Linked DNA regions of Cricetulus griseus. The protein of the gene in region 1 interacts with the protein of each later gene in a pairwise test. Links are inferred from orthologs where the notes say so. Each region holds a gene or a part of one and is shown on either strand. Other genes may lie near its edges. The genes, in order: Cda and Plekhb2.

What was found.
Region 2: the proteins of Cda (region 1) and Plekhb2 interact in binary tests that used the Homo sapiens proteins (3 or more experiments, as listed by UniProt). The two-hybrid records come from large-scale screens. The link is inferred for Cricetulus griseus from reciprocal best matches to the Homo sapiens genes CDA and PLEKHB2.

The regions. Positions count from the first base shown.
Region 1 is NC_048595.1:14,984,889-14,992,109, reverse strand, and holds the start of Cda (cytidine deaminase), read right to left. Parts: upstream 3,913-7,221; 5' UTR 3,705-3,912; coding exon 3,551-3,704; intron 1-3,550. UniProt on the Homo sapiens protein: This enzyme scavenges exogenous and endogenous cytidine and 2'-deoxycytidine for UMP synthesis.
Region 2 is NW_023276807.1:13,221,177-13,228,393, forward strand, and holds the start of Plekhb2 (pleckstrin homology domain-containing family B member 2), read right to left. Parts: upstream 4,912-7,217; 5' UTR 4,768-4,911; intron 1-4,767. UniProt on the Homo sapiens protein: Involved in retrograde transport of recycling endosomes.

The DNA.
Region 1 (7,221 bases):
AAAACTAGAGTTTGGTCCCCAGCACACACATCAGGCAGCTCACACCTTCCTGTAACTCCAGGTCTAAGGGATCCAATACCTTCTGACCTCTGGGCAAAATAACTGCACTCACGTGTTCATACCCACACACAGACCCGTAGACACACAAAAGACACACACAGACAGATGCATACACACAATTAAAAATAAATCTTTAAAAAACATTTTTTTTGCCAGGTGATGGTGGCACAAACCTTTAATGCCAGCACTCGGGAGAGGTGGCAAGTGGATCTCTGTGAGTTCCAGGACAGACTGGGCTACACAATGGAACCCTGTCTTGAAAACCCAAAGAGAGAAAGAGAGAGATTTGTGTTTTGTTATGTAAATGACAACATTCATTTGTAAGGTCAAAAGGTTGGACACACCTGTGCCTTGACCCCCACCTATAGCTACTCCAGTGACCCATTTCAGCCTGCTCTGGATTTGATGCCTCTACCGGTTCAGAGGGACACTCCCTTGATGACTCAGGAAGGCTTGTGATTGACAGATGGGAGGGATGACTTTGGTCTTGGTAAAACCTGAAGTGGCTGTGTGTTGCATGCCACACCTATGAAATACCCACCTCCTCCTGGCTCTGTCCATAAAACGCTCATGTGGAGGGGACTTTTTTTTTTTTTTTTTTTTTTTGCCTACTTGCAGTCTTTATGGCAGGTAAAGACTCTTGCTATCACAGGTAGAGCAAGATGAGCTGGTTATGCAAAGAGGAGACAGCAAAAACAGTTGCAGCAGTGACACTAGGCACAAAAAGGTGACCTAGTGTTTCAGAGAGTAGACGGGGCGAGGATAATGAGGAAAAATGTGGAGAAGGCAGAAGTTTGTGGAAAGTAAGGGATGAAGCAATGCCTGCCTCAGGCTTCAGAGCTCTAGGAAGTGGACAAGCCTTAAAGGCCAAGGGTGCCATAACGGAACTCACTAGCTGCTGAGCACCAGCCAGGCTACGGGCAATCCAAGCCCAGAGCCCCGCACCTCCCTTGTGAGCCCCTGAAACTCTAGGTCTCTGAGTTGTAGGTTGGGGAGCACAAGTCTTACATTTTCCAGACTTGGAGCGCTAAGCCCTTGTGTCAGTCTGTCCATACCACAAGCTTTGGGCACTAGAGGACCCAGCACTACCAAGCTGAAAGACTATCCCTCCTGGTTTACTTGTGACTTTTGCGTCCCAGTAGACAAAAGGACCCTCTCTCAGTTCAGTGGTAACATTTCTGCACTCCCACCCTGCAACAAGGTTCTGCCCATAGAGCCTGAGTTTGGGATGAGATCTAAAGTGGGGTGCAATGGCTGTAAGAATGAAGAGCAGAGGCTGCCTGCGCCCTTGTCCTCTAGGGGGTAGAGACTCATCTGCCAGGCAACAGAAAGCAAGCAGCACCCATCATAAGAGTGGCGTGTAGCATGCTGGGTGTAGTGGCACACACCTTTAATCCCAGCAGTCAGAGCTAGAGGTGCACCTGGTCTATAGAGCAAGTTCCAGGACAGCCAGTGTTACACAGAGAGAGAAACCCTGTCTCAAAAAACAGAATGGCATGGCACCCAAGTCCCTGGGTCAGCCTGCCCTGAAATTGGAGCTACCGTGCAGGCTTGTCACCCACAAGGGAAAGCTTCCTGACTAATACGACGGCACTCGCCTGCCTCCCTCCTACACTGGCTGTGAGACTGCAAGAGATCTCCCACACAGTTAACAGGACACTCCTGCTCTTGGTCCATGCCAACCTCGTCCCCAGCACAAACCAGCTCTGCCTTTGGCCATTTACTTTATCATTCCCCTGCTCCAGCTGGCTAAAAATTCCTGGTTAAGGCCGTGTGTGTGTGTGTGTGTGTGTGTGTGTGTGTGTGTGTGTGTGTGTGTGTGTGTGTGTGTGCGCGCGCGCAGTGTCCATCCTGATGCATTAGTATAGAGGCCAGACTGGGTCAACCTCAGGTATGATTCCTCAGACACCACCCACCCTGTTCTTTGTTTTCGCTGACCTAGCACTTGCCACTAAGGCTAGGCTATCTGGCCAGAGGGCCCAAATCCATCTGTCTCCATCTACCCAGCACTGGCAAGTGAGTGCCTCCAAGCCTAGATTTTTATGTGAGTTCTGGAGATCAGCACTTTACTGACTGGAAGATCATCCCAGATCTCTTTCCTCCTTCTCCTCTTCCCACAGTCCTGGTCCAAGCCATGTATGTACTCAATGTACTCCATAAACCCCGTCTGGAAGCCCCTGAAACCAACCAGATTAGCTAGGCCTCCCCCTGCCAGAGTAAACCGTAAAAAATGAGAATCTCTCTCAGATGAAGGAGGCTGAGTTGCAAAGAAGACTCTGAGACCAGACCAGCTGCCTGCAAGAGTTTAGAGCAAGCAAGCCACATGAAAAGGACACTCCAACCTGTGGAGCTGCCTGCAGGCTGTGCAGCGTGTTCCAGGTTCCCAGCTTTGTGAGTTGTCACCCATGCTGGGGTGGCCTTGGTGATGCAGCTGCCTTTGAGTCATTTCTGTGCCTGTAAGTGACCCCTCATCCACATTCCTGTAAGTGACCCCAATAAAACTCATTGGTTCCCCGAGCTGGACTTTGGAGGCATCTGCACTCAGGTCTGTCTTGGGCTCCCTCCCTGGGGGTGAATAGATGTGTGTTGCCATCTCCCAAGGAAAAGTGTCACACAATACCCAGGTGATTCAGGACACCACAGAACCTCAGTCAACAAGACATACAAAGGGGCACTGTAGTTGTCTCCTGTCCATGCTCCCTCCCTCCCTCTCTTCCCTCCCTCCCTCCCTCCCTCCCTCCCTCCCTCCCTCCCTCCCTCCCTCCCTCCCTCCCTCCTTCCCTCTCTTCTCTTTCCTCTCCTCTTGCCCTCCCCCTAAACCCAGACTTTTGTGCATGTGAGCGAGCATCCCACCAGCAGCTGCAGCCACTCTGGCCTAGGCGAGTGTCTATAAAACCAGAAATTAAACAACATGAGCCCAGGGCAGATCCGTATTAACTCAGTGCAGACTGCTGGGCACCCGGACCAGACCGTGCCTGGATCCTCTCCTAGACACTACGCAGGAAGCTCATTCCTCACCAGCCGTCCTCAGCACCCTAGTGTGCAGGAGGAGGGGAGGCTTTGGGGGCCTCCAGCCCTGGGTGCCATCACCTGCTGTGACTTAGGACCTGTCTCTTGGTTTCAGCTTCTTCATCAAAAAACGGATCTAACCCCGGTCAGGAGGTTAGAGGAAGAATTTACAGATGAACAGGCGAATACTAGGCATGCAGGACCTTCTGAACGCGTCAATCCTCTCCTGTCCTGCAGGTCGCGGGGGTGGGGGTGGGGGGTTGGTTTTGGCCTGTCCTCCAGCCTCACCTGCAAACTCCCTTCCCCATCCCAGACTTCTAAGAACAGAGAACCACTGTGTAGAACAACAGTTGAGTTGCCCCACAGCCTGGGCAAGGAGGCCGGAGAGGCCCAGTGAGGAGGGGCGGCGTTGCTCCCCTCTCCACGCGTACCTGGGCCCCACCCAGGTTGCCAGGGAGGGGGCCACGGCGCCAGCCCTTACCAGAGAAGATCCTCCCGTCCCCGGTGAGCAGGGCAGCTCCTACAGGGAAGCGGCTGTAGGGGCAGTAGGCTGACTTCTTGGCCTCACGAGAGGACAGTAGCAACCGCTGGACGTGCTCGGGCTCCACGGCACAGGAGGGGCGTTCCTGGGCCATGTCGGTCCGGTCCGGGGTGGGTGTGCTGGCTGCAGCAGAGGAGAGGAAACTGTAGCTGGCGGTCTGCTTGCACTGGCCGGGAGAGGTGGCTCCTCCCCCGGGGTGTGTCCCGCGCGACACCAGAGACCTGGAGGCTCCCGGGGCTGGAGCCCCGAGGATACCGTTTCGGCTGAGCTGGGGAGTCCCAGGGTGGACCGATGTGTGGTGCCCACGAGTGAGTCAGTCTCCTTTAAAGCCTTCACTCAGTGCCAGCCTGGATCATGAGGGGGTCACAGGGCCAGTGCCACTTCAGTGAATGGTTGGAGACAAACACCGTCCATGGGAGGAGGATTCTGGGTGGGTCTGTGTGACCTGAGCTCAAAACTCAAAGGGTCCAGAGCCCTTGAAATTTCTAATGGCTTTTTTTTTTTTTTTTTTTTTAACTGAGAGAAGGGATGAGGCTGAAGGGCCACCATGGCAGTGTGCCAAGTCAGAAGGTATGCAAAGCGCGGGAACGTCTCTGGTTTCAGTGGTTTCCTTTCTTTTCCTCCCAGTCCTAACCCAGCATTTAAAAGCATATCAGCTGAAGGGAAGCCGGGCCTTCCTTCCTTCCTTCCTTTCTCTTCATGGACATTGGGTTGGTGGTACCAGAAATGGATTTATACCCTGGTTGTTCCTTTTCTCTCTCATATAAATGTTATCTGGTTCCTTGATGAACGTTGGCAGTTTTCCTCTGACTACAGTAGCACGGAAGCACGGAAACTTTGGGTTAAAGTGGGCTCTGGCTTAGACTCCAGGTCTGTTTATTAGCTCTTTCCATGACCCAGGGAGAGCTGCACTGCTTCTCTGAGCCTCAGTTTCCTTATTTACAAAGTGGGCACACAGCCAGCATCGCCTGCCAATGGGTGTGAACATGAGATGATAATGCCGAATAGAGAGCCTGATGGGAGGATCTAGAAATGGCACGTGTGAACACTTTACACAAACCTGGTTATTGTCTACAAGTGACTTGGCCAAGATCGTATAGAACGGGCCAAATTCCAGGCCGTGCAATCAGGCACGTCCAAGTGTCTCCAGATGGCCAGCATGCAAGATGAATCAGCAACTTCTCTGAGTGAGGCTTGTGTGGTGCTAAGGGCTGGGTCGGGGAAGGCATGGGAGAAAGGAAGAGAATGGGACACAGACACCTCTGCATCCAGGGCCGTTAGCTCTCAGCCATATATAGATGAGGTCACACCTGGCAGTGCCAATGCCCCAGGGGCAGGGTTTGCCTCAGTTCCTCCCCACACTTGTCTCTATTAGTTCCTGCCCACCCCACCGTATCCATATCTCAAGAGGCTCTTATCCCTCCAGCTTGGTACCCACCCATCCAGTTGCACTTTCCCCTTGGATGGGGACTTGCAGCATGAAGACAGGTCCGTGGATCTAAATGATAAATGTTTAGGGGCCAAGTGTAATTCCAGCTTGGAAAAGGGTGATGGTGTCCTCATGGCAGGACTCAAAAAGACTTCAATGAGTAGTCTGGTCTATGCACCCCACCCTGAGGAGACAAAAAAAGGGAAAGGACCTGGCCAGATGGCTCAGCGGGTAAAGTGCTGGCTCGCCCAGCAAGCTTAACATCCTGAGTCAGAGCCCCAGCATGCAAAGGTGGAGGAGAGAACCGACTCTACAAAGCTGCCCACTGACCCCCAAATGCTTGCCATGGTAAGCATGCACCCACTGTCACATATTACACACACACACACACACACACACACACACACACACACACACACAATTTCCTTGTTGTTGGTGATGCATGCCTTTAATTCCAGCACTTGGGAGGCAGAGGCAGGCAGAGCTCTGTGAGTTTGAGGCCAGCCTGGTCTACAAAGCAAATTCTAGGACAGCCAGAACTGTTTCACAGGGAAACCCTTTCTCAAAAAAAAAAAGTATTCCTCCAAGGACTGGGTATGGTAGACATGCCTTTGCTGCTGGTATTTAGGAGACAGAGGCAGGTAGATCTGTGGGTTGGAGGCCACCTTGGTCTACAGAGAGAGTTCCAGGCTAGAAGGGCTACATAGGAAAGCTCTATCTCAAATAAATAAATAAAATAAATGATTCCTTTGGCCTCTTTTGACCCATATTTTTGTCTTGAAAGTTTGTAAGCCTGAACAATACATTCCAGAAACAACTTTATAATGAGTGTCATACACTAAAGTTCTTACAATGAAAATAAGTACACCAAAAAACGTTTTCACTTAAACCTGAAATCCTTTGAATGATGTAGCTGTGTAGTTTCAAAAGTCACAAAAATATCACACACATGCACAAACACGCGTGCATACACACACACAGAGCTATTGTCTTTCTTGAGATGCTTGGTTTGCACTCCCTCTTGAGTTTGTACTTTCATCCTTTTCTTTTTAAAAACATTTACTATCTATTACTTTTTAGTATGTGTTTCTACGCAATGTGTTTCTGTGTGAGCTTGTGCACGTGAATGCAAGTGCCAGTGGAGGCCAGAGGAGAGCACTGGATCCTGAGGAGCTGACAACACAGGAAGTTGTGAGATGTCTGATGCCAGGGCTGGGAACTGAACTCAGGTGCTCAGCAAGAGCTTGAAGGGATCTTAGCCACTGAGCCATCTCTCTAGTTCTTTTTCTTAATCTCTATCCCTCTCTCCCCCCATCTCATATTTAAACCTGCATTAAAAACTTTTACAAACTGCCAGGTGGTGGTGGCCCATGCCTTTAATCCCGGCACCGGGGAGGCAGAGTTCCAGGGCAGCCAGGACTATACAGAGAATTCCTCTATTGAAAAACCAAACGCCTTTTAAAAACCAAGTCACGTTTGTTGCATACTGACTCATCCTGGCATAAATCAAGATCTGGCTGCTTCTGAGGAGAATTCTGAGGAGAATGTCTCAGAATCCATAGCTGGCAATACTGAACTGTGGCCCTTGCTACTACCGACAAACCTAGACCTCCCCAGGCTCAGCCTCCTGGATCCCTCAGCACTAGCACCCTGATGACTTCCAGGCTAGTCACAGCCTTTGACTCCTTCAAACCTGCCCTTCAAAGATGGGGACTGTATCCATGGCAAACACAGCTGTGCAGAGACTGGGAACCAGCCACGATGCAACGATTCCTTGTAGAAGGGATTGGGTGGCTGTTGAATGGAGCAAGCTTGGACTTGGCACCTTGCTTAGAGATAAATTATAGATCAATATAATTAACAGAATTTTCTAAACATGCACTTATTTCTACTTTATACAAAATTAAGAAAAGTCAACTGTCTGGTGGGAAGACTAGAAATATCCAAGAAGGGTCTTTTCTCCTTTCCTTCCTTCTCTCTTTCTTTGGTGTGTGTGTGTGTGTGTGTGTGTGTGTGTGTGTGTGTGTGTGTGTGTGTGTGTGCCACATAGCAGACATTGTCGTTAGAAGGCTGGCAGGGGATGGAAAGACATGATCACAATTTCCTTGGGTCCTGGGCCATGGAGGGAGGCCTGAGAGTTTATATGTCCTGTGTCCATGTGATGTTTGCTGACTGTCACAGA
Region 2 (7,217 bases), on another chromosome or scaffold:
TTCTTAAAAGTCCTACATCACTAAAAATTCAACAATAACAATTAAAAGTACTAAATTTTCTTTTTTTTTTTTTCCTTTTTTGGTTTTTCAGGACAGTTTCTGGGTGTAACTTTAGAGCCTGTCCTGGAACTTACTCTGTAGACCAGACTGGCCTTGAACTCACAGTAATAGGCCTGTCCCACCCTCCAGAGTTCTGGGATTAAAGGCATGAGCCACCACTGCCCGGCTTCTTTTTTGGTGGGGGGGGGGCAAGTTTTTTAGAATCTTCAAAGTCTTTCTAAAAATCAATTCTCTCTATGTCCCACAGTCTCTTAACTATGGGCTCCTGGTGAGTCTCAACTTATGTTTGGATCCTATAATAGGACATACAGTGACATATATAATACATACTAATGACACGGAGTGATAAACTATGGACCATATGGAACTCAGCATGCCAAGCAAAGAAATCGAAATATTTCTGTTCCTTCAGAGACTGATTCAGTCATATATCCTGGAGGTACTCTCCCCATCCTCAAGGTAGGTATATTAATTATTTTTTCTCATTGCTGTAACAAAATGACTGACAAAAGCAATTTAAGGAGGAAAGGGTTTGTTTTAGGTTGAGGCTGAAGGGATAGAGTCCATCATGGCAGTGACATGCAGCACCTAGTCACATTATATCTGTTGTCAGGAAGCAGAGAGAGATGCTGATGCTGAGCTCAGTTTCTTTTGACTCATCCAGGACCTCTGCCCATTGGGTGGTGCCATCCACATTTAGAGTGGATTTTCCACTTCAGTTAACACAATCTAGACACTCCCTCACAGGACAGCTCAGAGCTCTGTCTCCTAGGTGATGCAGATCATGTCAAGTTGACAGTCAGAATTAAAAATCATTGTGTATGTTTGAAATTGACTCTCACAGTACTTTTAACTTGCTGTAGAAATAGCTACCTTGGGTTGAGTTTTTCTGTCAGGTACCGAGTCAAAAACTTGTACATTATTTCAGCCATATTCTGCATAATCTTGCCAAGTAGATGGCATATTTTCACTTTACAGATGAAAAAGCAAGGCTCAGAAAGCTAAGTAAGCTGCCCAATGTGATGAGTTGAGACAGGATTTGAATACAGGTCTTCTGGGTCCAAAGTCTATACTTAGACACACTAGTCTTTATGAATTTTAAAAACATATAATCATAATCATGCTTCCTGACTTTCAGTTGCTATAATACAGTCACTAAAGTTCCCCCCTCCAGTTTGAAGGCAATGAGAATTATTAGAAAGTAAACTACAAGCCAGGCGTTGGTGGCGCATGCCTTTAATCCCAGCACTCGGGAGGCAGAGGCAGGCGGAACTCACTGAGTTCGAGTGCCAGGATAGGCTCCAAAAGCTACACAGAGAAACCCTGTCTCAAAAAACCAAAAAAACGAAAGAAAGAAAAGAAAGTAAACTACAAGTAGGTTGGTTTTGTTGTTTTGGAGTATGTGCTGTTTTGGTTTTGCCAACTTGACACAAACTGGAGTTACCTGAAAAGAGGAGCCTCAATTGAGAAAAACCCTCAATCATATTGCCTATAGGCAAGTCAGTAGGGCATTTTTTTTTATTAAAAATTGATGTGGGAGGGCCCAGACCACTGTGGGTGTGGCTACCCCTGAGCAGATGGTCCTGGTTTGGACAAGAAATACCCATCTAATTACATCTTTCCTCTCTCAGCTTGTACTGTGTAAGTTTTGGGTAGTTGCTGACACTGATCAAGTAATTCTTTTAAGTTGTCTGTCATCCACTAATACAGAAGAAAGGCTGGAAAAAAAAAAAAAGAAAGAAGTCACATATAAAATACGAGCTAAAGCACAGTCAAGTTCTCTGGAGTCAAGGAGAACCTACTTCCCATCCACCCACTCACCCCATCTCTAGCGAGTGCTACAGGAACACATTTCTGAGCAGCCACTCTGACAGGAGAGAGGATGCAACAAACTGCCAAACAATGTGCTGTTTTTATAGGGTGTGCTTAAAACAACAAAAATAAAACAAACAAAAAACTTCAGATTTCAACAAAAGGTAAAGACAGTTCATAACACTAACTCTCGGATAAAAACAAACTCCTCAGGGAGTTTCTTCAGCTCTGATCCAGTCTTCTGGCCTCCTGGCTCCTGAGCCCTGCAGGCCTCAGGGAAACTTCACTGGTTTTTCTTTACCCATCTCATCTGTCTAACTTCTTTTGGTTGCAAATGGTATGGTTATGCCAGGAAGTTCCTTACAGGAACTAAACTAAACTAAACGCGTGGCAGCAGGATGCCGCCGTCCTTATGATACAGTACTCACAGATACCACTTATTACTAACAATAGGGAATGGCGAGGAACAGGAAGGGCAGATAGAGCACTTTTATCCTCTATATTTTAGGGACAAGTTGGTAAGATGTATTGTAGAAAGGAATCTGCACACACCCCTGTTCATGGTCTGCTATTCTGAGTTAACCTCTGGCCCAGGAGGCACCGGGAGGAACACAGGACTTGATATTTTAAGAATGTCCAAACCCAGTTAACAGAGACTGTAACGGAGAAGAGCAGACAGACAATCAGGAGGAATGCATAGACATCATGAACTTCAGGGTCTAGGCTGATCTCCTGACCAGCAGGCCAAGACTGAGTAGGAATAGCAGACTGTGCAATGTCAGACTGCCTCCGTTTCCCCCTTGCTGTACCACCTGTCAACTGCAGCTGACTTATTAGAGCCTGTTCAACGGTATGAACACGGCCTCCCTCTCAGATCACTGGCTCTCTGCAAACCTACAACCTAAAGGTACAGTTTCCAGAGATAGATAAGAGATAGATAGCAGACAGACATAGTGAGAGGAGCCACCAGTTTCATAAATTCAGTCTTTATTATCAGGGAATTTACTTACAAAGATATGCTAACATCCTTACTTACTGAACATCTACTGTGTGTCTGACAGAAAAACACCTTTGATTCCTGCCCTGAGGAAGAACAGTGGGAAATCTCTCATACACAAAATAAACATCACAGACACTAGAGAAACCAGGACAAGCACCTGCCTGGCTAGAGGGTCTCTTTTGGGGCCATCTGTCCTAACCAAATCCTGCTGACCACACAGAGGCAAAGCTTCCTGGGCCCAGGAAACACTCCAAGCACCCTAAGGAAGGAGCCAGCAGCAACAGTACTCCCAGCTACATGCCCTTCTCCACTCTAGAAGGCAAAACCACAGCACAGGCTGGCAGACACACAGCCATGTTTGGTCAATGACTCCTTCAGCAAACACACATCACCCTAAGTCAGCAGGCAGTAAATCCCAGCTGCCACCTCACTGTTTCCTGTAAAGTGGGACAAGTCACTTCCTGCACTGGTTGCCTCAAAGACCACAAGAGACCAGTCTTTCTATCCTAGTAAACCACACACACACACACACACACACACACACACACACACACACACACACACACACACACACACACACACCACAGAGAGGGGGGAGGAGGGAGGAAGGGAGGGGGAGGGAGGGAGGGAGAGGGAGGTAGGCTTCTTTGGAGGGATTAATCAGTGTGTTCTGAATTAGACATGCAGTCTCTAGAATCTGTAACCTTTCCACCTACTCTAAAACACTGGGAATTACTCCACTCCTTCATGAGGTCTCTTTGTAAACCACTATGCATCTGAAAGTTAAGATACAACAAACAATTTCTGCTTATCCCAAATAAAATCCCTGACCTCCCAAGGTCTCAGTCTAGCTGCGTAACAATTAAATGTAATAAAAAGGAGTTACGCTTGAACTAAAGACAGGGTAAGACTGCCGACCATGGAAGTGCAGTAGAACAGGAGGGCCCACCAGAGCCAGGCAATGGCAGGCGACAAGTAACCCGAGGGTCTCAGTGAGGCAGTAGCGGTCCCTTGCGGGGCCTGAGACGTCCCATCCTCAGCAGTGCGCCCCCACCACCTCCTCACCCGCCATGGGTGGAGAAGGGGGGGTCAGGACTAAGCGGCTCTACGGAAGATACCATCAGGATAGGGGACACGGGGAAGGATGCTCTGGGTTGGGGAGGATATAACCAGGATGTGGGCCTTTGGGGAGCCCGGAAAGGGCTCTAGGAGAAGGGGAGGGGCACCAGAATGGGCCAGAAGTAGGGAAGGGAGGGAAAAGATTATGGTGGGGAACACTGGGGAAACCCGCGGGGACCCAGGGAAAGGGGGGGCGCTAGGCTAGACAGAGCATTAAGAAAGACTACGCAGGGAAGACAGATCAGGATGGAGACAATGAACAGGGTAGGGGGAAGAGACAGAGACCTCGAAGGGGAATACAACCAGCGTGGGGGACACTGGGGACAGGGAAGGAGACAGGAGGTGGAGGGAATACAAGTAGTGCAGAGGCTGAGGCAATACAATCAGGATAAGGGACTCCGGAGAGGCAGGAGCTGGTGGGGGCGGGATACAATCAGGAAGGGCGACATCAGAGAAGAGGGAGGGGCGTGGGTCAGAATGGAGACATTCGAGAAAGGGAAGAGAGCGAGAAGGGGTGGTGGCGGGGGGACTTTGGGGAAGGGAGAAGCAACAGTGGCTGAGAGGGGTCACCGAAGAGAGGACGTGAGGCTGAGGAAGTGGGCGCGGCCAGCAAGGTTGGAGTGCCCAAGAGCCGGGCTTGGAGAGGGAGTGTTGGCGAAGGTGGTTACCCCCCACCCCGGAGGGACGTGGAGCAGGGCCGGATGGGGTACTCCGGCAGGGGAGGTCCCGGGAAGGGGTCGCACGCGGGCGCAGTGGGGCACCGCGGGCACAGTCACCTGCGAATGTTCGGTCCGCTAGGCAAGAATCAGGCTGGGAGTGCAAGGTCGCCGGCTTCTTCTGCTCTTTGCTGAACGCGCAAGTCCAGGTCCTGCGTCACCGCCCGGCGCGCATGCGCGGGAGGCAGGTGCCTGCCTGGGTGCAGGGCCGGCCGGCGCCGAGTCTGAGCAGTTCCTCCTAACTGGGGCTTAGTTATCTATCACCTCAAAGGCGGTTCTAAGTTTTCTGAACTTGGCCTCCAAACTCAGCTTCCCGGAGAAGTTGTATGACTGCCTAACTGGGGTAAACCAAGGGCGAGCAGAGCCTGCTTTGAGCCAGAATTGAGAACAGCGTGCTCGGAAACTAGAAAATGAAGATGTCAAAACTGAAACAGCAACCGAGGAACAAAGCTGGAATCCTTCGCAATAAGTCACAAAGAATTGTTATAACTTAGAATATAAAGTAAAACGATTACAGAAATAAGTGAGGCCAGGCGGTGGTGGTGCACGCCTTTAATCCCAGCACTCGGGAGGCAGAGGCAGAGGATCTCTGTGATTTCGAGACCAGCGTGGTCTACAAGAGCTAGTTCCAGCACAACCTCTAAAGCCACAGAGACCCTGTATGAAAAACCAAAGGGGAAAAAAAAGAAAAAGAAAAAAGAAAGAAAGAAAGAAAGAAAGAAAGAAAGAAAGAAAGAAAGAAAGAAAGAAAGGAGTTTGGAAGGATCCGTGTGTGTTAGCACAGAACCCAGAACTGTGGAGGCTGAGTCAAGAGGATCACGAGTTTCAGGCCAGTCTGGGCTACACAGCCACTGTCATAAAAAACAAACAAACAACAAATAAAAAAAAAAACTAGCTCATAAAGAGGGCATGGTGGTACACAACTGTAATTGCAACACTTGGGAAATGAAGTAGGAAGACTTCAAGAAGCCCAAGGTCATTCTTGCCTACATAGTGAGCTCAAGGACAGCCTGGGAATCCAGGGGAGCCCATTTCCATAATATATATATATATATATATATATATATATATATATATGTATATATATATATATATATATATATATTATATATACTACCATACTTTTTTGTATATTGGACAAGGCACCGAATACTCCCCAGAATGGGAACAGGCCTGAGCAAGCATAAGACTCAGGACCACCTGTTACTCTTTTGTTTAAAAAGAAGAAAAGAGAAATGCTGAGACAGACATACTTACTATAAGTTTATTATAAGGCCCGGCAGAATGGGGAGACTAAGAAGAGGAACAGGGGTAAATGGCTGACCACCATGGCTGGTCACCATAGAGAGAGCACATAGGTGAGAGAGAGTAGAAAGGAAGCTGAGAGGAAACAGAGCAGGGAAACAGAGAGAGGGAACAGAGAGAGGGAACAGAGAGTGTAAAGGGGCAGGGACTTGTCTTTTAAAGGGGTCCTCTGCACCTGCGTGCAGACTTAGTTCCCATGGAACCTTGGGCTGACCAGGGTACTGCCTGTTCCACCAGGTAACAGGGGCAGGCCAGCATAATGCCTGAACCTGTCTATCAGATTTTTGATTTCTGCCAGATCTTTTTGCTTTTTATTTTTTGTCTTTTTTTTCTTTCACTGGCTCTGTTGTTCATGGCTTGTTTACTAAATACTATGCCTTTCCAGGGCCCTCTTTTTAAATCTACTCTCTCCCTTTAAATCTCCTGTCCATTTGCTACAATGTACGGATCAGAGATTACATTCTGGTTCCCCCTTTACTGTTATCCAGTCCTGCTTGTCTTTGTACCTGTAATTTAATTTTATACTTATCTAGCTCTATATACAACTTAAATTTAACTGTTAAGTCTCATGTTTCTAAATTGCTATGTATCTTTAAATGATAGTAAACATTTAAAGTCATAAAGGTCTAATTTAACTATGCTTAAAATATAAGCTAAGTCTATACAACTTAAATTTAACTCATATATCTTTAAATAATGATAAAAATTTAAAATCATAAAGATTATTTCAAATTAACAAAATATTTATGCCACTCAGTCTATCCTATAAGCCGTTTACAAAGGTACAGCTTTTATTACAAAAAGGAATTTTTCTCTAACTAAAGGCAAACTTTTAACTGCTGAGATACTAAACTGATGACAGCCCTCAAATGCTCAGAGATCTAGAGAATATGGCATTTAAAATGTTTTGTTAAAAAGCTTTTTATAACAGAGAGATAGGCCAGCTGCTGGCCCCACCCCATTTCCTCCGAGAAGACTGATGGGCACTAAAGAAGCTTCATCTCGAGTCAGTGACAACGCTGGTCACTGAGCAACCCTGCCCTTCACCTCAACTATTACAAAATATACCAGACCTTGGACAAGAGGACAATGGAATTGACTCTCCCGGCGTTGCTTGGGCCAACGGTAGGCGAGTCTTCCCAAAGTCTGTAATCCACAGGTCACAAGTTATCAGCAAGAAGGCAGGTGTCCTGCAGCCCACTTCT